2 linked regions of the Elephas maximus indicus genome follow. The protein of the gene in region 2 purifies or fractionates together with the protein of the main gene of each other region. This does not show direct contact. Links are inferred from orthologs where the notes say so. Each region holds a gene or a part of one and is shown on either strand. Other genes may lie near its edges.

The links.
Region 1: the proteins of ARID4A (region 2) and BRMS1 purify together in Homo sapiens (affinity purification with western blotting; 3 studies listed by BioGRID and IntAct, with this or other methods). This does not show direct contact. The link is inferred for Elephas maximus indicus from reciprocal best matches to the Homo sapiens genes ARID4A and BRMS1.

Annotation. Positions count from the first base shown.
Region 1 is NC_064825.1:129,487,317-129,498,721, reverse strand, and holds the start of BRMS1 (breast cancer metastasis-suppressor 1), read left to right. Parts: upstream 1-6,542; 5' UTR 6,543-6,671; intron 6,672-9,841; 5' UTR 9,842-9,848; coding exon 9,849-9,987; intron 9,988-10,095; coding exon 10,096-10,186; intron 10,187-10,375; coding exon 10,376-10,503; intron 10,504-10,647; coding exon 10,648-10,727; intron 10,728-10,808; coding exon 10,809-10,905; intron 10,906-11,405. Other genes in the region: B4GAT1 (beta-1,4-glucuronyltransferase 1), read left to right, coding at 4,047-5,102, 5,399-5,590. UniProt on the Homo sapiens protein: Transcriptional repressor. Down-regulates transcription activation by NF-kappa-B by promoting the deacetylation of RELA at 'Lys-310'. Promotes HDAC1 binding to promoter regions.
Region 2 is NC_064828.1:70,641,671-70,653,136, reverse strand, and holds the start of ARID4A (AT-rich interactive domain-containing protein 4A), read right to left. Parts: upstream 4,752-11,466; 5' UTR 4,658-4,751; intron 3,765-4,657; exon of another isoform or gene 3,673-3,764; intron 3,566-3,672; 5' UTR 3,515-3,565; coding exon 3,509-3,514; intron 1,746-3,508; coding exon 1,635-1,745; intron 1-1,634.

The sequences.
Region 1 (11,405 bases), on a different chromosome or scaffold from region 2:
TGAAGTATCCCCTTGTTCTGTTCCAACAACTGCCTCTTGGTCTATGTACAGGTTCCTCATGAGCACATTTAAGTGTTCTGGAATTCCCCTTCTTTGCAATATTCTCCATAATTTATTGTGACCCACACAGTCGAATGCCTTTGCAGAGCCAATAGACACAGGTAAACATCCTTCTGGCACTCTTGCTTTCAGCCAGGATCCATCTGACATCAGAACGATATCCCTCGTTCCACATCCTTTACTGAATGCGGCTTGAACTCCTGGCAGTTCCTTGTCAATGTCCCGCTGCAGTCATTTTTGAATCATCTTCAGCAAAATTTTACTTGGGTGTGAAATTGATATTCTTCAATAATTTCTGCATTCGACTAGAACACCTTTCTTTGGGATGGGCACAAATATAGATCTCTTCCAGTCATTTGGCCAGGTAGCTGTCTTCCACATTTCTTGGCACAGATGAGTGAGCACCTCCAGTGTTGTATCTATTTGTTGAAACATCTCAGTTGGTATTCCGTCAATTCCTGGACCCTTGTTCTCTGTCCATGCCTTCGGTGCAGCCTGTTCTGGTGTACATAGGGTCGCAGTGAGTCAGAACCAACTTAATGGCACCTAACACCAACAAAAACAATTTCATGCTATGTGAATTTTACCTCAAATTTTTAAAAAAGATATTATAAAACAAAAAGAGAGAAAGAAGGAGAGAGACTACTTATCCTGCTTAAGTCCATGCAAAGTCAGATTCCAACTTCAGAGCCCATACTCTGCCTGCCCTGCTGCCAAGAAAAGTCTCTCCAGAGACCCCAGGGTGTCTTAAGGGAAGTCAAGCATTAACTTGTTTGGTTCAGACGAGAATTCAGTCCTTCCCCCACTTGAAGACAGAGGACTCCCTCCAGACTGAGGTGGTTCTGAAGGTTTTAGAGGGTTAGGAGCTCCAGAGCCAGGCTATGAGGGCCATGTTGCATGTAGAGAGATTGAGGAGGAAGACAGCATTATGGGAGGAGGGAGAAGAGCATGGGGCAGTGTTAAGGGTTGAATTGTGTCCTCCAAAAACGTGTGTTGGAATCCATGTGGAAAGGAGCCCTGGTGATGCAACGGTTAAGCACTCTGCTGCTAACCCAAAGGTTGGTGGTTCAAACTCACCCAGTGGCTGCCCAGGAAAAAGGCCTGGTGATCTGCTCCATAAAGGCTTACAACCAAGAAAACCCTCTGGGACACTTCTACTCTGTCACACAAGGTCACTATGAGTCGAAAATCTACTGGATGACATCCAACAACAACATCCCAGGGGATGTAATCTCATTTGACAGTAGGGTTTCTTTGTTATGTTAATGGGGTCATACCATTTTTAGGGTGTTTCTTAAGCCAATCATTTTTGGCATATGAAAGAAACAGATTAGGCACAGAAGACAGCAAGTAGAGGTGGGAAGATAGATGTCACATCACAAGAACAACAAGCAACTGTGGAGCAGAGGCTGAAAAGAGACAAGGACCTTCCACCGGAGGTGACAGAGAGAGAAGGCCTTCCCCAACAGCCGGCACCCTGAATTTGGACTTCTAGCCTCCTAAACTGTGAGAAATAAATTTTTGTTTCTTAAAGCCACCCATTTGTGGTATTTCTGTTATAGCAGCACCAGATAACTAAGACAGGTAGGTCCACTGTGAGGTCACGAGTTGAGACTGACTCGAAGACACCTAAGAACAACAAAGCCCTTGACCTGGGCAGGCATATAATAGGATCTCAGGAAATCACGAAGGCGCCCTGGTGGTGCAGTGGTTAAGCCCTCAGCTGCTAATCAAAAGATTGGCAGTCTGAACCCACCAGCTGCTCCGAGGGAGGAAGATGTGGCAGTCTGCTTCCGTGAAGATTACAGCCTTGGAAATCCTATGGGACAGCTCTACCCTGTCCTATAGGTTCACTATGAGTTGGAATCGACTCAACAGCAATGTGTTTGGTTTTTGTTTTTTTTGGGCGGGGGGCGGCTCAGGAAACCTCAGCTCATTATCCTTCACCTTGGTGAAAGTCAAGTGTCTGGGAAACTGTCTTCTACCCCTGGTGGTCCTACAGCTAAGTGCTCCTTTGCTAATCGAGAGGGGGGATGCCTGGGAAAATCTTATCCATCAAGGCAGTAAATGGGTATTGAGTGCTACCATGAAACACAAATGCTCAAGGGTCCAGGCAGACAGGGAAGTGCCAGGCTTGAGAATTTGGTAAGGAAAAGACTGTTTACAAAGGTGGAGCTCTGGACAATTGTCACCTTGCAGAACTGCAGGCCTGGCATTGCCAGATCTTCCAGGATTTTAAATCCAGAAGTTGGAAATGTGCATTTTCCGTGAAATCTTCTGACTCCCGAAAGTTAACAACTAATGTGATTCAAACTGTTATTTTTAAACACTGATCAGGCCAAAGAAAACCCATATGGGCACCACATCCAGCCCCTGAATCTCCAGTGTGCAAGGCCTGTGCTGGCAAGATCTGTGCTCACCTTTCTCCTCTCTCTTGCCACAGGTACCAGTGAAAACTCTCAAGGACAGGAGCTGTCCCATCTCAGGTGCCTAACACAGCCCCTGGCAGGGAGCAGATGTCAAGTAGGTATTATCTCACTGGGCTGCAGAATATAGGTCTCCTGGCCACTCCTCATCTCGACAATCTTCACTGACTCCCTGCTGCCTGTGGAATAGCTGGCAAACACCTCGTACTGATATTTCAGGCCCTCCCCCGTCTGTTCCAATGCACCTTCTGAAGATTCACAGCCCTTTGTCCTATATGGGAGCCCTGGCTCGGGCCGCAAAGGCCATGTGTCTAGTACATAATTATTTACATAATCGATTTGGCCTTTCAGGTCAGACCCTTCCCCACAGCCTCTTCTCTTCTAAAGATTCCATGTATCAATGAATCCACAAACGTTTATTATAGGATTTCTGGGAGAAGGGAGAGGAGACGGAGGAGTAGGCGGAATCAGTAGGCGACATAGAGTAATAATTTAAATGATCAAATATCCTTCCTAGCAAACTTCCACTCCTTCAGACAGGAGGGAACTTCTCCAATTCCTGCAGATAACACACTGAGCCTCAAGTTAGCATCGGCCAGAATCCTGGTTCTGTTCTTCTAAGTGCCACCAACTTCCGGAACCTCTTTCTAGAGAGAAAAAAAATCACACCTTTGACCGCTCCCCAGTAGGTTCAGAGACCTGGAGTGGGCAGACGCGGGAGCAGAAGTGGGAGACGCACGGCCGGCCAACAAAGAGGAGAGGGAGCCCCAGGGTAGCGCCAAGCGCAGCTCAACTCTTTTCAACTTCCTGCTTTAGACTGGTAAGATGTAGAAAATTAAGAATCACGTCTTTCGTAAAACGCGACCGACGAGGATGGGATTCGAACCCACGCGTGCAAAGCACAATGGATTAGCAGTCCATCGCCTTAACCACTCGGCCACCTCGTCCCCTACAGTGTGGCTCTCTCCACATTCTCTTATCACCCTTCTTCTCCGCGTTCTCCGAGTCCCTTCTACCCATTCTCCAGCGTAGACCCCTTAGGCTATCTACGATAAGGAGACACGGCAGAAATAAACGTTTTTTTTTGTTTTTTTTTTTCCTTTCCGCCCGCCGCAGCCGGGAATCCGGGCCATCCCTCACCAAGCTGCTGCAGAACTCTGCCACGGTTTCCCCTCCCTGACTCGGGGGCGAGCCCATCGAGGTTTCAGGACGCGCTGGGTTCAGGGGTCGCGCACGGTGGGGAGTGAGGGGGCGCGTGTCCCGGAGGACCCCTGGCGGGCCGGGAGGCGGTGGGGCGGCCGGAGCGGCAGGGGCGGCAGCAGTGGCACCGCGATCAGGAAGACTCAGTTTGCAAAGCGCGCGGACGCGGTGGCTCCTCCTCCGTCTCCGGGGCGGGCGCGCGGCCGAGGCCCGGCTGTGGGCGGTGGGCGGGGCTGCCAGGCTCGGCTGGACTCGGTTCGCCTCGGCTGCGCTCGGCACGCTGCAGTAAATCCCGGCTCCCCGCGGCCGGCAGACGCTGCGGTCGGTGGTCCCTGCTACGCACTCTGAGCCCCGAGAGCCATGCAGATGCCCTACGCCATCCGGTGCGCCTTCTACCAGCTGCTTCTGGCCGCCCTCATGCTCGTGGCGATGCTGCAGCTGCTCTACCTGTCGCTGCTGTCTGGGCTGCACGGACAGGAGGAACAAGACCAGTATTTCGAGTTCTTCCCCCCGTCCCCGAGGTCCGTGGACCAGGTCAAGGCGCAGCTCCGCACCGCGCTGGCTTCGGGAGGCGTCCTGGACGCCAGCGGTGACTACCGCATCTACAGGAGCCTGCTGAAGACCACCATGGATCCCAACGATGTGATCCTGGCCACGCACGCCAGCGTGGACAACCTGCTGCACCTGTCCGGCCTCCTGGAGCGCTGGGAGGGCCCTATGTCTGTGTCGGTGTTCGCGGCCACCAAGGAGGAGGCGCAGCTGGCCACGGTGCTGGCTTATGCGCTGAGCAGCCACTGCCCCGACATGCGCTCCAGGGTCGCCATGCACCTGGTGTGTCCCTCGCGCTACGAGGCCGCCGTGCCCGATCCCCGGGAGCCCGGGGAGTTTGCCCTTCTGCGCTCCTGCCAGGAGGTCTTTGACAAGCTAGCCAGGGTGGCCCAACCCGGGATCAATTACGCGCTGGGCACCAACGTCTCCTACCCCAATAACCTGCTGAGAAATCTGGCTCGCGAGGGGGCCAACTACGCTCTGGTGATCGACGTGGACATGGTGCCCAGCGAGGGGCTGTGGAGAGGCCTACGGGAGCTGCTGGATCAGAGCAGACAGTGGGCGGGCACGGCGCTGGTGGTGCCTGCCTTCGAGATCCGTCGAGCCCGCCGCATGCCGGTCAGTAAGACGGAGCTGGTGCAGCTCTACCAGGTGGGCGAGGTGCGCCCCTTCTATTATGGGCTGTGCACGCCCTGCCAGGCGCCCACCAACTACTCCCGCTGGGTCAACTTGCCAGAAGAGAGCCTGCTGAGGCCTTCCTACGTGGTGCCCTGGCAGGACCCCTGGGAGCCATTCTATGTGGCTGGAGGCAAGGTGCCCCCCTTTGACGAGCGCTTTCGGCAGTACGGCTTCAATCGCATCAGTCAGGTGCCCATAAGGGGAAGGCAGGGGAGGGGGGGTTGGGGAGGGGGAGACGGAGGAGGTGGAGGGGAGGAGGGGGGAAAAGGGATGGGCGAGGGGAGTAGGTCAGGGAGATACGAGGAGTGGCCCAGTGTGGAACTGAGGCAGGGAGGCCGGGTAAGATCCCAGGTCAGGAAATGGTTGGGTGGTGTGGAAAATCCAGATGCTTCCAGAAGGTTGGGGTGCTAGAGTCTGGCTTTAGGGGTGTCGATCTGGGCCCCAGGAACGTCTCTCACTTTGCTGACCTGTCTCTCACTCCACAGGCCTGTGAGCTGCACATGGCAGGGTTCAATTTCGAGGTTTTGAACGAAGGTTTCTTAGTTCATAAGGGCTTCAAGGAAGCTTTGAAGTTCCATCCCCAAAAGGAGGCTGAAAATCAGCGCAATAAGGTCCTGTACCGCCAGTTCAGACAGGAGTTGAAGACCAAGTACCCCAACTCCCCACGCCGCTGCTGAGCCCTTCCTTCCCCCGGTCTGAGAAGTTTCAGCCTCCTGACTCCTCGGGCCGCCCCTTAGGCCTGACTGGGGTAAGAAACGTCACTCCACTTTGCAGAGGGAGCTGTGGTGTTGCAACACTGGACTTGAATATGGGGTGCTAGGATCAAGTCCTAGCTTTACCACTAACTAGCTGTGTGGCCTTGAGCAAATCCCTTTACCTCTCTGAGCCTCAGTTACTCTGTCTGTAAAAAGGGAGGTGAGAATGCCTACCTCACAGAACTGTTGGGAGGCTCAGATGAGCTGTCTATGAAAACATTCTGTAAGCTTCGTACAAATGTGAAGTATTATTAATATTATTACAGTATTATTATTGTTGTTATCACTATTGTTATTAACAACCGGGGGTGTGTGAGTGGTAGGAAAGCAAAAAATGTGAATGGGACAGGGTTGAAAGTTCAGAGACATGGGGGTACTTAACGACTGGGGCTTTCTGGAAAGAAATCAGATGAAGGTGTGGAATTTGGTTCTTAGCTTTTGGGCAGAAGCCTTAACAACTCCAGCGCCTCCACCCTTGGGGGCTCTGAAGGAGGGAAGGGTCTGAAGGCTTGATGGCGATAATCCGAAAAAATCTGTACCCTCGAATAGGCTGGTGCTGGGTATTTGCCTACTGATGACAACGTGTAAATAAATGAGTGTTCACACCCACAGCTGGTTCCGTTTCTCTCCGAAGCTGGAGGGAGGGGGGCCCTGGTTTCAGCCCTTGGACGCCGGGGGCGGTTGCTGCGCACCGAAGGGCGTGGGCAGCGAAGCGAGGAAACCACGGGGGCCTTTGCCGCAGGCCGAAGCCTAATGGGAACCTCCACCGGTTGCCATGGAGACCGGCCCGCGGTATCCCAGCATGCCTCTCCCCAGCCATCCAATTGTGAGCTCTCCGGCGGGCGCCCCGAGATGACGCACACGGAAGCGCGGCGAGGCCCCGCCTCCCTGAAAAGAGGGACCTGCGCAGCGCTTCCGGGAGCCTGGCGCCGCGGCAGGTACCGGCACCCTTGGGCGCCTCTCAGGGAGACCCGGACTTGAGGCCAGGGAGCCCCCCCCCGCGGTGCGTATCGCCCCCCCCAGCCGCTGGTTGGGTCTCTCTGGGCTAGTCGGGCGCGTCCTGCCCAACCTTCTTCTCGGGGCAGAAGCGGAGACTTAACGGGCTGGACGCGTGCGGGGCCGCGGGGCCGCGGGGCCGAAGCCGGCTGCGGGGGAGCCCGCGATTCTCCCGCCCGCGCCGGTGCAACCGGAGATGAGACGAGGCCGAGCCTCCTGGGCGCGGCGAAAGGGGCCAAAGTGGGGAGGGGCCCGCCTTCCAGGGAGGCTGCCTTCCTGGAGTTCAGAGTCGGAGAAGATAGATGGCATGCCCACCGCACTTCTCAGTTTGCTTTTCCATCCCTTAACCCTTGCCAGCTTTACAACAGTCAGAGCAGGAACGGTTATCCCCGTTTTGCACACACGTAAGAAGAGGAAGTTGTGACTTAATTTACTGCTCAGTAAAATTAGAGTTAGCTGGAGGAGACACACATACACACACCCCCTCTTTTTCTGATCCGGAAAGCCTTCTGGAAGCTGTAGGACTTAGGCTGAGACTTACGGTGAAGAGGAATTGCAGATGGAGGGAACTGCAGGAACTGAAAGAGCCCTGGTGGCGCAGTGAGACTTGGAAGTGGGAAAGATGAGAGGCTGGTTTGGAGACCCGAGAAGTGGAGGAATGAACCTTCATGTCTGCTAAGGTTTTCAGGTTCGAATCCATGGTGAAATCATTGAGGAATGTGACTAAACTCTCCCCTAGGCCAGGCATTTGCCACAACTTGAATAGGTGTCAACCAGAGTTAACAGACACTTTGGGTTTGATTTCACTGCAAGGACCTGAAGCTACCAAGAAGTAAAAACCAACCTTTGACCTGCAAGAGTTTGTTTTGTTTACTTATATTTCCCAGTCCTTTATCAAGGGAGCCAGTACTGGGCTAGTTGACTAAGATGTGTTTGTAGCCCCTGCCCTGGGGAGGCACACAGAGTGGCTGGGGAGACAGAAGGAAAATGAGCAAACAGAAGGGAGATGCAAAGAAGGCTTCGTGGAGGGAGTGGAGTCTACACCAATCTAAAGGGCTGCAGAGCAGTGGCCAGCGAAGCTAGAAGAGGAGCTTAGTAAAGTAGAAGCCCCCAGGAGGCAGTGAGATTCTCTGCTGGAAGGGTGGTTAAATCCCCCCCTTAGGGGCTCTCTTGGCAGGATTAGACACTGTTGTTGGCCACTTCTTCTAAAATGTTCTCTGGCCATAGCTTTGGGGTTTTTCTTTTCTGCCTCTCCCTAATTTCCTTCTCCTTTGCGGGAGTCTCCTCAGCAGCCCTTTGGTGACCCTGGGAGTTTCATCATGGACCCCTTCTCCACACTTTCTGCTTTGGTGCCATACCTTCTCCCATGGCCTGAACAACTCACTCTATGATAGTGACCAGATCTCTGTACGGCCCAGATTTCTCTCTGAGGCTTAGACCCAGGTCCCCAACCCTCCCCCACTCCCTTCTCTCATTTCTGTATCCTTACACATGCTACTCGCTCTACCTGGAATGTTCCCTCCTGTGCTAGTCAGTTCATCCATCTGCTGTGTCTCCCCTGGCAGCCCTCACTGCTGCCCCAAGCTCCTGGTCTTAGAGGCCCCTCCCCTGTGCCCCCAGGCTTAACTCTTCTCGCACCGTGGTAGTGGTCTGCTGCTTTGCCTCTTCTCCCAGGAACGTGTAAGTTCCTGGAGATAAATACTGCCTGCCTGCCCCAGGAATTCCCCTGTACCTGCCATAGTGCCTGGCAGCACCTAGCATATATTAAGTGTTCAATAAATATTCAGTGAGGGAATACAAGGACTGCTTGGCTGTGTCTGATGTTGCTGAGAAATCAATTAAGATAGCCCCCAAAAATACTGGCAGTAGCCACAAGGAGGTTGTCGGTTAACTCAGTGGGATCCGTTTCAGCAGAGAGTGATGGGTGCAGGACCAGATGGGAGCAAATGGAAGGTGAGGAAGCAGGAAGGGCAAGTGTATACAAGGCCTTGAAAGTGGAGCTGTGGCGTGGAAAGCAGTGAAGCGGAATAGGGTGAGGTTTGGTTTGTGTTTTCGCATTTTCTTAATGGTGGAAAACACCTGAGCACATCTACGGTTTCATGGGAAGGAGCCTGCCAAGGAGAGTTGAAGCTACAGAAGAGAGGGGAGTACTGATGATGTGGGGTCCCAGAGGAAGCAGAAAATGAGAAGTGAGAGAAGGGATGGGGGGAGGGAAGGGGACCTGGGTCTAAGCCCCGGTGAAATCGCCCGCACAGAGATCTGGTCACCATCACAGGGCGAGTTGTTCAGGCCATGGAAGAGGGTGCAAACACCAAGGCAGACAGTGTGGAGTGAGAAGGGGTACATGCTGGAACTCCCAGCGTCACCAAAGGGGCTGCTGAGATACAGCCTTTGAGGAGATCTCTGCAAAGGAGAAGGAAATAACTGAGCAGAGCACGAAGACAGAGAAATGTAGAAAGCTATCAGGAAGAGAAGAGGAGTGCACGATGGGCAGAGGAGGAGGGAGAACGTGGTGTCTTTGAGGACTCACCAGTGCATGGTTGGGGCCAAGGAGCTGGGTGGGTGGTTTAGTCCAGTCTGGGAAGGGCCTTGAAAGCCTCCACTAGAAGTTTAAGCCGAGTCCCATAGGCAGGGGGAGCCCTCGGGGGCTTCTGAAAGGGAAAGAGCGCTCACGCAGAGCCCTGCTGGTTCCTGGCCTCTTGAAGAACTTACCTCGTCCTCATACCACTTCCACAGGGAGGTCACAGGCAGAGCAACTGTGGATCCTCAGGGCCACACTTACTGTTGTACCTGCAGTGTTTTCCACCTCCCTATGCCTGCTCTCATAGTGCCATCACAGCCCACCCAGCCTTTTCTGGGGGTGGGACGTTTGGGTGGTAACGCCTCGTGTCGTTGGCCTTTCCCGTTCTGTGAACTGGTGCTTGGCCAGTTCGCCCAGGATTGGGATCGCCAACGGGGTCAGAGGGCATGAGCGTTTCCATGGCTCCCACGCTCCTGGGGGAGATGTGCACCCGGAGCCATTTGCTCCCTTTCACCCAGCATGCGTCAGGGTGGCGAGGACAGTCACCTCCCTGCTGTCCCCTCTAATTGAGGGTCAGGCTGGGCTCGACTCCCTGCTCGGCCACTCAGCTCTGTACCATGGCCAGTGTTGAGTGATGGCTCCACCTGTTCTCCCAGAGCACAAATGCCCGTCCAGCCCCCAAGCAAGGACACAGAAGAGATGGAAGCAGAGGGCGACTCAGCGGCCGAGATGAACGGGGAGGAGGAAGAGAGTGAGGAGGAACGGAGTGGCAGTCAGACAGAGTCTGAGGAGGAGAGCTCCGGTGAGTGTACACACACATGTGCACACACACTTGTACACACCAATGCGCACGCACACGTGGTACCCGCCCGCTCCTCGTCAGAGGCCCTGACTGGCCTCTTGTCCCCAGAGATGGATGATGAGGACTATGAGCGACGTCGCAGCGAGTGCGTCAGTGAGATGCTAGACCTGGAGAAGCAGTTCTCGGAGCTGAAGGAGAAGTGAGCGGGCACACCTAGGGCTGGTCTTCACGGTCCTGGGGGAGGAGGCAGTAGGCTGGGTGTTGGCGGGCGGCTGAGGTCCAGAGTGAGTGAGCACCTGACCAGGGCCTGCCACGGAGCTGGGGCCCTGCGTGTATCTGCCCAAGAGCACAACGGACCGACAAGTTGGGGCTGCCTTTCACCTCCCAGGTTGTTTAGGGAGCGACTGAGCCAGCTGCGGTGGCGGCTGGAGGAAGTGGGAGCTGAGAGAGCCCCCGAGTACACGGAGCCTCTGGGGGGGCTGCAACGGAGCCTCAAGATTCGCATTCAGGTGGCAGGTGTGTGGGCTGTCCCGTGTCCTGGGGTCAGGCCCCAGTCACCCCTTGTGTCCCCCTCCTCATCCCTGCCTGCCCTGTACTCCCAGCCCTCCTCGGATACCTCAACCGCTGCCTTAGGGGGGCCCCCTTCTCCCTCTTCCACAGGCATCTACAAGGGCTTCTGTCTGGACGTGATCAGGAATAAGTATGAGTGTGAGCTGCAGGGAGCCAAGCAGCACCTGGAGGTGAGGGGCTGGGCGCCTGCAGAGGGGTGTGGGCAGGGCCTGAGGGGCCCCACCCGACTGAGCTGCTCCGGCCTCCTTCAGAGCGAGAAGCTGCTGCTGTACGACACCCTGCAGGGGGAGCTGCAGGAGCGGATCCAGAGGCTGGAAGAGGACCGCCAGAGCCTGGACATCAGCTCGGGTGAGGCGCTCTGCCAGTGCCCAGCACTCCTCTGCACGTAGCTGCCCTGACTGCACATGGGTGCAGTCATTGGCCCTGCTCCTTGAGGTCGCCAAGAGGACTGACTGAGAGCAGGCATGGAAGGGCCCAGCCCAGGGCCAGGCATGCAGTGAGGGGTTGGGCAGAGTGGGCCCCATGCCCTCCTGTCCCTGCTCTCTCCCCAGAACGGGAGGTGCGGGCCGGTACGCCCACATATGGTCACCACAGTCCGCTCCGTGTCCACAGCACCTATGTTCCTTCTTCATGTCAGTTGCTCTGCCAAGAGGCTACTGTGGAGTCCTCAGGAGGCAGCAGCTGTTATCATCACCCTGTCATCCCCCCCATCACCCTCCCCCATCTGCTGAACAAAGGAAGCACCTGGGGCTCACAGCAGTGCAGTGCCCTTTCCCATGGTGCACAGCTGTGCAGTCCGGACCTGAACTCAGGCTTCCCAGCTCAGCCCAGAGTTCTTTGCCCCAGGG
Region 2 (11,466 bases):
AACTGAGCTTCTAGAGCACTGGAGCCACCCTTCATTACTATATCCCCAGCAGTTAGCAAGCTTCAATGCATATTATAAGCACCTATAATGTTTGCTGAATGAATGAAGAAACTATTGAAAACTTATAATCTGTAAGGATTATGTAAACGCTTAAAACTGCCTTTACTGCTCTTTACCGACAAGTCATAAAAGGTTCTGATTTGTCACCAAGTACATCAAAAAACAGTATCAAGCTCTACTGCCTATATGCAAGGAAAATAAAACCAGAACTCTTTTATCCTTTGTAAAGTACACCAGAATAATAACCATAGTATGTAATTCACTTACAAACAAATGCTCTTTTCTACTACAGCTCCTGCCAGATATACAGAGTAAGCAACCATAATAGAGCAATTACCCAAATAAGAAAATTCAAATTCTAGGTAATACATGTATTATAAGACCTCCTCCAACAATCGTAGTATTGATTTAAAATTAAAAAATGAATAAACATTAAGAAACACAATACTAACAAAAAGTTATAAGCTTCAAATAATCCCGAATACTTAGTAAACAAATCCTGTATAGCTAACATAGTAAAAAGGCTATATAAAAATGCTCTGTAAGAGTAAAAAGAAATCACAGGAAAAAAATGAATGCCATGTGACATCTTAACCCTGAAAGAAGTTTCATAAGCAGACCAAAGTTTAAACAGAAATTTTATACTAATCATAGATAAATCTATTTATCTACCACACAAATCACACTCCTCTAGTTCATTCACTCACTTGACAAATTCTGAATGCCCACTATGTACCAGGTACTGCTCTACTGGGCATACAGCAAGTCAGACATTTCCTCCTTTCACAGCACTTCTTTCCGGCAGGAAATCATCAAATGTGTTAAGTGGGAAAAGCAAACTGCAAAACTCCAAGTAATCCAGTAATAATAATAATAACTTTATGAGAGCCATGGTAAAAAATCTGGAGGACCAAGCCAAATCTATTGGGAGTGGTAGAAAGGAGGACTTTCATAAGCTATATTACATAGCTTCGTAGCGTTAAAAATGTTTATAATAAGCATTGCTTACTTCTATAAGTTACATAACAAAGATTACTTAATATATATTTATATATGAAAATTATCATAAATAAGCACAATAATGTTTACGATAATATTTCTGAGACATAAACTATGGATGTTATTCCTGTTCTTTTTCCATATTTCTGAATCTTTTACAGGGAGAATGTGTTAACTTTTCTCTAGTCATAGACTAGACTTGATTCATTTTTGACAATCTTTTGAAAACAATTTCCACTGTCTTGTTTTTCCTAACCACTGAAATCGTCTCTACCTAAACATCAAACAGGAGAAAACAAGACTATAAGTAAGTACACTGCCATGAATAGGGAAGATCTAAATACTAGGAAGTATGGGCAGGGTATTTTGGTAAAAACATTTTGAAATAATCTCTCATTTTGAGTTCTTTATTTCTCAAGTCATAATGTGCCTTTTCTAAAGTTCAGTACATAACAGTGCATTTACACAGTAATAATTCAATAAATAAAATATGTTGATTCGTAGTCTCCCCCTCCTCAACTCTCTTCAGTCCAGAGTTAATAAAACTGTTACATTAAAAAAAAAAAAAAGATTACCTTAACTTTTACCAGCCTCTTCACAGTCTTAATCTTTGCCTCACAGAAGGCACCTCGGTACTTGGCACTGACATCAGTTCCCACTGTCAGGTAGGCAGGCTCATCCGCCGCCTGATGAAAGGATCATAAAATTTAAAAATAAAAATAAAAATTTTTCCTACTTCAGCTTCAAGACTCGTTTAAAGGTTCTGTATTTAAAATGAAAGGAATGCTAAAATTATTTGCTTATTAATATCATTAATAATTAGAAAAATACCCTTAAAGCCAACATTTTATTAAATAGCTCTTTATACACTGGATGTCCTTATCTAATAGAAGATGTTTTATAGTTGTAATCACAAAGTATCAGTAAGAAAATACAATAATTTTTTATAGATATAAAATGGTTCAACAGTTCTACAATTTATATAAAATACAGAAAAACAATAAAAAAGAGGAAAACTATATTCATTTGACATTTCCCATAAAATTTTAAACCATTCATTTATGGTCTCCTCAAAATGTTGTCTTCAAATTAAAAGAAATATTGCTATTAAAATTAATACTAACAATATGCAATTAAAGGTTTATTAACATAGCTACATAAAGCCTGTACCTTAGATACAGTGTAACTATACATATAAGAAATGAAGACAACCATCCTGACAAGGAGATTATTATTCGGAAAATTTTTTGGTTGAAAGGGGCATATAAAAAGTTTAAGTCTAAATACAGCTAATGAACGCAGAGATGGGAACTGATGTCTCAAGACTGTAGCCCTACCTAGCTTACAGAACTGGTAATCCTGGTATAAAAAACGAGCTTCGCTAAGAAATGTCTAATGGCCATGATTAGAATGATACATTGAACGATGCAAGAAATTTTATTTTACCATTAATTTTGATCTTGACAATAATAAAATGATTGCTATCTCAATCTGTCATTTTGCCTATTTTTTCCTAAAGCTAAGTTCCAAATTCAACATTGCTGAGTGCAAAGGTAACAGTGTACACTTTAGAGACAGATTAAGTTTAAAAAATAAAAAAAGGCTTTTTATTTTTCCTAGTAACATTAAAGAAGGTTAGATGTGTCACTTAGTGCAAGAAGATAGGAAAGAAAAAGAAAGTTTTGGAAAATGCCACATACACGTTTCAGAGCTTAATACACTGAAACAGTAAACGAGTCGGGAATCTGGTACCTTTTAAAGGTAATGGATTTACAAAGAATGCAAAATGAAGAGGAATGCTTTCCACAAAAAAATACCCAAACTGAAACATTGAGTGCCACAGCGCTCCAGAATGTTAGGATACCTTCCCCTTTAAATATCATATGCTGATGTTTGCAAGATTAGTTGTCTTCCGAAGAATTTTTTTTTTTAGGTTGGATATATTTAAAAAAAAAATTTACTATGAAAATTGGAGTAAAACTATTATTAGTTTTAGTACAACTTAAATATTTTAGCCCGGAATTTCGCTATATCCCCAGAAGACATATACCCCTTACTCAATCCCCATATTCTTTCTCTTAGCAAATTGCATTGGCACAGAAGAAAAAAAATTTTCAAAAAATCCCCCAAAGCACCAAAGCAGGACAAAAGCTTTACTTCTGCGACGGTTGCTGCCAACACAGGAAGTGTTTAAAAATACTAGCCCAATGGACAATTGAAAGGTTGCACCAGCCTTTCCAAAGCGCTAACTGCTTCAGAAAGGGGCTGAACCGTCTGCATTTAGATACACTGATCATTTCTCAGCCATTCAACACGTCCTCATTTTCATTAAGTGCTGCTTAGTAATCAATTTTGAGAACCAAAAAAAATGACATTCCACGGCAGGAGCCTCACGACAGGCAGTGGCCAGGGACATCTCGAGATCCAGAGTAGCACTGATTCTACTTACCTTCATTTTTATTGGTGATCTGTGGGGTTCCAGCTCAACGAGCTATCTTCACTGTCGCTAGAATCATGGGGAGGGGAAAGACAGGCACAGAGTCAGCCAAAAGCGGGGAGCGACCCAGGGAAAGAAAGTAAACAAACGCCAGCGGGGAGGGGCAGAAGCCTCACCAGCAAAGGGATAAGATCCCCTCGGAGGGCGGCCAGGACGCAGGGGCAGAGGGGCAGCAAGAACCCTCGAGGCGCCAAAGGGCAGCCCGTTCCGCCCCGGAGTTCGTCAGCGGCCCACCGCGCCCCCGCCTCGCTCGCCACTTTGACTGGGAATGCTGAACTCGGAGCCCCGGGACGGGTCGCGCTGGAGAAGGGCAGTGCGCGTTTCGGGTTCCCACAGCCCACCAGACGGAAGGTCGCCGAGCCTTTTCTCAGCCGCCCCCCGGATACTCTCGACTTAGGCCCGCGACCCGCCTCCGCCGCTCGGGCCCCTCGGCCCGCCCCGGGCCCGCGGTGGAGGCAACGGAGTGTCACGGCGCCATTGCTCTCCTTCCTTCACTCTGCACCATGTCAGGAAACCGAAGCGCTTCTTCACCCCGAAGTGGCAGGGGCCGCGGCCTTCAGCCCGAAGCCCGGAGAGGTGAGAGGAGATACGCGAGGGGGAGGGGGCTCGGGGGGCGGAGAGGAGGAGGGGAGGTGGCCGGGACAGGGTGTGGGAGGGGAGGGGAGCCGCACAGCGGCAGCCACCGCCTCCTCCCCGCGCCCGCCTCAACTTTTTGTACAGCTCGAGAGAGGCACCAGCCCCCAGCCCCTCCGGTCCTGCCACGGACACTACGGGAGAGGACGCACCGTGGAGCTGGAGGCCGGCTCCCCGGAGCAACCCGCTCCTCACCGCGCGGAAGCAAACTTAGCGGCGCGGCCAGCCCCACAGCCATTTTCCCGGGGAACACGGGGAGGCGGTCGAGGAGGCGGCTGCAGCGGCAGTTCCTGCAGTTGCTGCCACTGCTCCACGACTTGCCCCTTCCCCTGTGCTCGCTGCGCCGCTTGCCTGGCACCCCCCTCCAACGCCTCCAAAGCTTCCAACTGCACCGGGACCCCGGGCAGGAGCACCAGCTGCTACTGCTTCCTCCATTCAGTATCCTTCGCTTCCCTTCTCCCCACCTACCGAGTGCGGGTGAAGTGCGCGCTGTCAGCTCCCCAGTGCTCTGCCCCCACTGGCCCCCCGCGGGCCCCGGTCCGGGCAGCACCTCTACCGGCCGCGGCAGCAGTTCCTGCGCCCGGTCCCCCACTCGCCCGATTTACTGCCACAATCCACCAAATAACAAGCTGTTGAGCAGACTCGCTCCTACACGAACTCCTATTGGCTGCTCATGACGCCGAAGAGCTTCGGATTGGAGCTCGCTAGCTGCCGTCCTCATTGGATGTAGCTCTGAAACTTCACGGATTGGTGCGAAAAACAGCAGGTAGGACATCGTCCACTTATGATTGGCCATCTTCGAAGGCCAGTGCTATTGGAAGGTAAGGTATTGAGTAAGCAAGTCCTGAGAAATGATTGGTAAAAACGACTCCGGATGTGCTTGACTGAGCACTGATTGGTGAATTGAGGGGTCAGGAAGAGCAGTTCGGCACGAGGATTGGCGCCGAAGTGTCCCATGGAAACAGAACCTGGAGCAGCGGCCAGGGGCTCGCAAGGGGGCGGGGCAGAGTCTTTCTAAGGCGCCTGCGCTAAGGCGGCTTCTCGGCGCCATTTTGTCTCGGCAGCGGTGGCCACAGCTCTATCGCATTTTATGTTTCTGGCGAGAAGGGATTGGAGCGTCTATCCGGTAGGTTCATTTTAGTGCGGGACCTATTTACCGTTCCCTCCAGGACACCACTCAGTGAATAGCGGAAGAGTCACGGACCCTTCAAAAAGGTCAGTTGGAGGCTATGGTAGCCTGCCTGACTGGGGAATGGCGCAGCTTTAGCGGCACCGGAAGTGGAGGGGCCACACGACAGCCATGGCAAAGTAAATTCTCTCTGCCTCGGGGCGGGGGGGGGGGGCGGTGGGAGGAAAGGGGGCGAGGCTTACTCGCCGCGCGACAGATGAAGAGGCGGAGGAGACGAGCGCGTCGCTTTCTGGGTGGTGATCTCAAGAGTTGGGAAGGTTTTCTTGAGTTTGCTATTGTCCCAGCAGTCCTTCCTCAGTTTAGAATAGACATATTCTCCAGCTGAGCGTCACTGGCTGTGGGGGCCACCTTAAGACGGGAAAGGAATGGTTCTTACTCAGACACATCCTACGTGGGGAGAGGGTTTTCCGCGTGCTCCTCGCGTGACAAAGCTGTGAGGAAACTGAGGAATGCTCTGGGTATCCAAATGCTGAGGAATTTGCTTGCCAGCACTGACGCTGCTTCTGTGACCTTGGACAAGTGGCTAAGCTACACTGCACAAGGCTCGAGCTACTTTTTGAAAGGAAACAGTAATGATTTTGTAGGGTCTTGAAATACATTCGGACCTCGCTGATAAGAATAGTTAAGGGCAGCTATTGGTATTCTTTTAGCAAACTCCTCTGTTGAGTGAAACAAAAACTTACAGATTTTAAGTGGTGGCATTAGAGTATTCATTAAGAAGTACTTTTAAAGACTCAGATAATAAAAAATGTGAGATATTTTCGATAATCCACGTGGACTGATTTTACTCAATAAGGGAATTTAAACCTGAACCTTTTTATTCATAGCAGTGATTTTTCAGAAGATTATTTATTACGTGAAATGTATGTCAGTATTTTCTGTTGAGTGACTGGCCACACTTACCTGGATACCAAAACCCAAACCAAACCCAGTGCTGTCGAGTGATTCTGACTCATAGCGATCCTAGAGGACCGAGTAGAACTGCCCCATAGAGTTTCCAAGATGCATATCTTATAATTATCCTCATAATACCAGTGTTTTAAACCCTATTGTTTTGTTGGTGGGGCTCAAGACTAAAAAATGGTTGAGTGACTTAATTTATTACTGTTTCTTTTTGGCAGTTGTGTTGAGGAAAGTATAGGACATCTCAATGACAAATATCCAGATATTACTGAGGTGAGTCCTGATACCTGTAAAAATTTTTAGAATTGGGGAGACCCACATGGAAAAGTTTTCTGTGAACCACTAGAGGAGAGCCATGAATGATAGTATGGAAGAATAGTAGTTGAAAGATATTTTGTTTGGCAGAGGGTTCATATGAGCTGCCTGATGTGATAGTTTAGGATGAAATTGAAAAATTAGGAAATTAGGTCAGCCTTATATGTTTCTTTACCCATTCAGGTAGTTCTCATCTCTGGATTTTTAAGTATTTAATATTTTTATCATGAAACACTGAACATTTTCATGATTTTTTTCTCCTGTGTAAAAACTTAGCATATGAAGACAATCTTGTCAGTAAGTATTTAGAAGTGATTTTCTTATTTTTTAAGGAAATGCTAAAGCAATATAATGCTTCTGAATTTCCCAGGGGGTAATCACCTATAATTCCACTGCCCAACTTTAAATTATTATCTAATATAAATAATGCAGGTGAGTAGGCTTTTGGAAATTATAAAAAGCCCAAGGAAGAAAACCATCTCTTATATTCTCTCTACCAAAAGGTAATCACGTTTTATGCTGTACTTATGGAGGGATTCTGGTTTGTTTTGTTTCACAGTCTGGTTGTGTATTTTGCCACTCATGTTTTTTCTCTTTATGGAAAACATTGGGCACATTGGAAATATTGTCCAACTGTATAGGCTAGATAATTTATAAAACCTGTCTTAATTTTACTGAAGAGCAGTAACGTGTCACTGAGCGTTCTTGTATATGTTTTGCAAAATATTTTACCTAATGATTGACATCACTGACTAAAATTTCTAGTCATCTAGATCTTCCTTCACATCCCTAATTATTTCTTTGGAATAAATTCCTAGAAGTGGAAATATAAGACCAAAGGGATTATACATTTAAGGCTTTTGATACTTGTATAATTGTCTATCAGAAAGCTTTTACTTCTGCTGCAATTATGTTTTTTATCCTGCTTCTTTTTACTGCTTTTTCCCCCAAGTTTCTATTTTTCTATTTTTGTTTTTTTAGAGAGTCAAAATTTAATAGAGCACAAGCAGAAATATAAAACATTATAGGTAGAAAAATAAATCCAGTACAAGTATCCCTGAGAATCATAAAGGTTGGCATTCTGTACAGCGTTGTGCTGACCACTTTTTACTTGAGGTTGTCGTTCAGATCTGCAGTCTGAAAGGATTTTGCAGTTTCTCGGTTTGTATTCCTTATTTTAAATATTTCTGTTTCTCATAATTAAAATTTGGTACCAGATCAGTTACTGTCGAGTTGATTCTGACACACGGCAATCTCAGGTGTGTCAGGAGCTTTCACTCCTGAATCTGTTTATTCATGACTCACCATCAAATGGAATTATTACAATCATGAAGTTACATGTAAATTTGAGAATTTTTTTTAGGCCTTAGGAGTGATTTTTTTTCCCCTCGTTTTTGGTTTTTAATTGAACTTTGGATGGTTTACAGAACAAACTAGCTTCTCATCAGTACACGTTATTTTATGTCATTGGTTAGGAATGTTTTTTGAACTGTTTTTTCTGTTAGGTGCTTCTGAAGTGGATCTTTAGGATAGTTGAACATTCGTACAGTGAAACATTTTGCTACAACAGAAGTGGTATTTGGAATATACTAAGAACAAACAGATTGCTCTTATGGTATGGTTAGTTGAGTTTAATTACTTTATGTTTCTGGGTACCCCTGTCTAAAGTTCCACATTCTTAGGTGGATTCCCTCAGCGCTTTTGTACCCTCATTGGACCATTTACACGCCTCTTCTGATCACACATTAATTGGAATCGTTTAACTCTTTCCCCCTTTGAGAGTGCTCCCAGAGGGCAGCAACTATTTTCATCGTTATGTTCCCTTACTTGTTAGGTGCTCTGTAAGTATTTCTTATCAGTCTATGCATATTTGTATGCAAAATATGTAAGATAAACTAGTATTTCTTTATAGAAATTTTCTTCTGAGAATTAACGATACTGCACAAGTGCTTTCGTAACCTTCAGATTTTCTTTTTTAACATTCCAAATACTTGATTTAATGCTGAATTGCGTTTCAACTGCTAATAAAATGTAGAACCCATTAAAAATGTATCAAAGTAGTAGTTACTTGAAATGTTTTGTAATTTCTCGATCCTTTTTTTTTTTAAAGGATTTTATGATATTTTATTGGGAAGTACTTGCACATGAATATTAACAGAACGGCTAGTTGTTGTTGGCTGCCGTCAAGTTGATTCTAACTCACGGCAACCCTATGTATGCGCATTAGACCTGCTCCGTAGGATTTTCGAGCCTGTGACCTTTTGGAAGCAGATTGTCAGGCTTGTCTCCCAAGGCACCTCACGTGGGTTCAAACTGCGAACCTTTTGGCTAGTAGTCAGGTGTCACCCAGGGACTCCTGAACAGTGAATTAGACCATGGTATAAATGAAAGAAAATAAAGTATGATAGAATTATTTTTATGTAACGTATTTGAATGAGCTGAAACTGAGAATATGTGTTCTTAAAGTTTCCTAATGATTTTACAGGTGATTTTAAATTTTTCCTACAAAATCAAAATTGTCATTTTTTAATAATGCTTCTATTATATAAACCTATTTTGAAATCAGACTCCAGAGTTCTGTGTTTTGCAGTGTGGACTGTAACATACTCTAAAAGAAGTCTTTGTCTTTTAGAACAAGCCTGGTTTTTGTGAAAAAATGAAGCTCGGATTTCCAGTTTTAAAGACTTAGATCTGCTATGCGTGTTGAAAATTCTGTTCCTGGTATGTAATCTTATTTAACTATCCCCGTGCTGTTATCATATATATGTAACTCTTGTGAAAAAGAATTTTTTTTCACTGTGCAGTTATTTCTGTAAACTTCAGTATATTGTTGAGAAGCCGAACTGATGACTATTGAATGTAGCTGCTTTTCTAATGATTTAGTTATATTTTGGGAAATTACATGATTGTAACCAAAGGAAACTTTGTGGCCAAATGGGTTTGATGTTTAAGATTTAATAATGGCTAATAAAGATCAATAGATTTGTCAAAGTACAGTACGGAGTCAGATCTAGAGATTTTTAAAAGACAAATTCCTGTAGAAGGCAGAACAAATCATCATCTTTAGTAGTGAAGGTTCTTTGAGGTTAGTGAGATGCGATCTAGAAAATTAGATGAAAAGAAGGCATTCGAATTGAATGGAAGATGGTGGGCAGAAATGGGATTGTGTAAGGCAACGTGGGTCCAGGACAGTGTAAGTCAGTTTGGAGATGATGATTGGCTGAAAATTAGGTTGAGAAGGTTGTGAGGCCAACCTGTCCACATTTACAGGGTTACCTGCAACATCAGAATCATTTGGGCTACTTGTTCTCTATACAGGTTTGGGAACCTCTAGAAGGCTTTGAAAGCTGGATTATGAGAAGAAATTGAAGATTTTCTGTTTTATTTTCAGACTTCACAAATAATAATGGAATTTTAAAAAACAAAAAAAATCACCTTTAACTCTGTAAAGTTCTTTTTTTCCTTACCTGTATGCATGTTCTTTTTTAAGTCTTAATTTTCTTTTTTTTGCTGTTCATTTAACATTGTAACAAGCATTCAATGTGACTGCATAGTCTGTGTCAGTCTATTTTATTCAGTTTCTAATCCTTCAGTACTGTGCTACAATTATCTATGTGCATAAGTATTTTCTATGATTTGGACTGTTTTCTTAGGATCAACTTAAGGGTCACTACATGAACTTTTTATGACTTAAAGCATTGCCATTTTGTTTTTGAAAAGGGTTACAATAATTTACACTGTCACCCGCACTGTGATTTTAGTTTGCCACACCCTCAGCAGCATCACATAGTCTGTTATCATTTTTAATAATTTAATAGGTACAAAAAAATGTTGACCTTCCCCCTTTGTCAACTAGTGAGATGGAACTTTTTTGCTGTGGTTTCACTAACTGATTTTTGTACGTTGTGTATTTTTTCTGTCCGGTTATTTATTAGAGTCTTAATGTTTTATTCTGTAATTGTTCTATTATATAATACTTAGTAGTAATTTGCTGTAGGTATTTTTCCATGTAGATTTCCTTTCAATTTTAGTTTTGTTGAGTTTTTTTTAATAGACACAGGGATATGATATACACAAGATTTATTATTGGAAAATTATTTGGTAACAGTGTCCAGTATGGCTAAAGGGGAGACAAGACGCTCTTGCATTGGTGTCAGCGTGAGGTGAAATTAGAGTAGGACCTGGAGGCAGGGGAAAGAATAGGTCAGCAAGAAAAGAAAAAAAAAAAAGAGCTAACTAGATTTGATGGATCTCTGACTGAATTTAGGGATAAAGAAGACAAAAAAAAAAAAAATACTGTTAAGATTTTCAGAATAGGGAACAGACAGTACCATTAGCTGGTTTGGAAAGTCAGGAGAGACCACGGGTTGGTGAGGAAGATAAAATTGGTTTTAAACATGGAAGCTAGAGTTTTAAATCTCCAGTAGTAAGCTTCTGTTCTGCTTTTCTCAAATTATTTATGGGGCCTCTAACTGGGGGCAGGATATTATGCTCTACCTTATATTGTTTTCATATTTTGTTTTAATTCCATTCTTAGATGCTTTTATCAGAGCTTTTTTATTTCCGATTTTTAAAGTACAACTTTTATTAAGAAAAGTTAAAGTGGATTAATAAATTGTACAGAAAAGCCAGATGATTCTCAAACTAAATTAAGGAGAGGTTAGTTTTTCAATATTGAGAAAATACTGTAGTTTTAAGAGAGCATCTTACAAAACATATGCATGTTTTAAAACTGTTAAAACTTGCGGGGTGAAATATATTCCCTCTTCTTGAGTGGACTACTTTTTATGTGTTTAGTTTTTGTTGGATTTTAGAAGAATATAAAGAGTAACAGATGTATGTTTGTGGGCCGTAAATGTTTTAGCTAGGA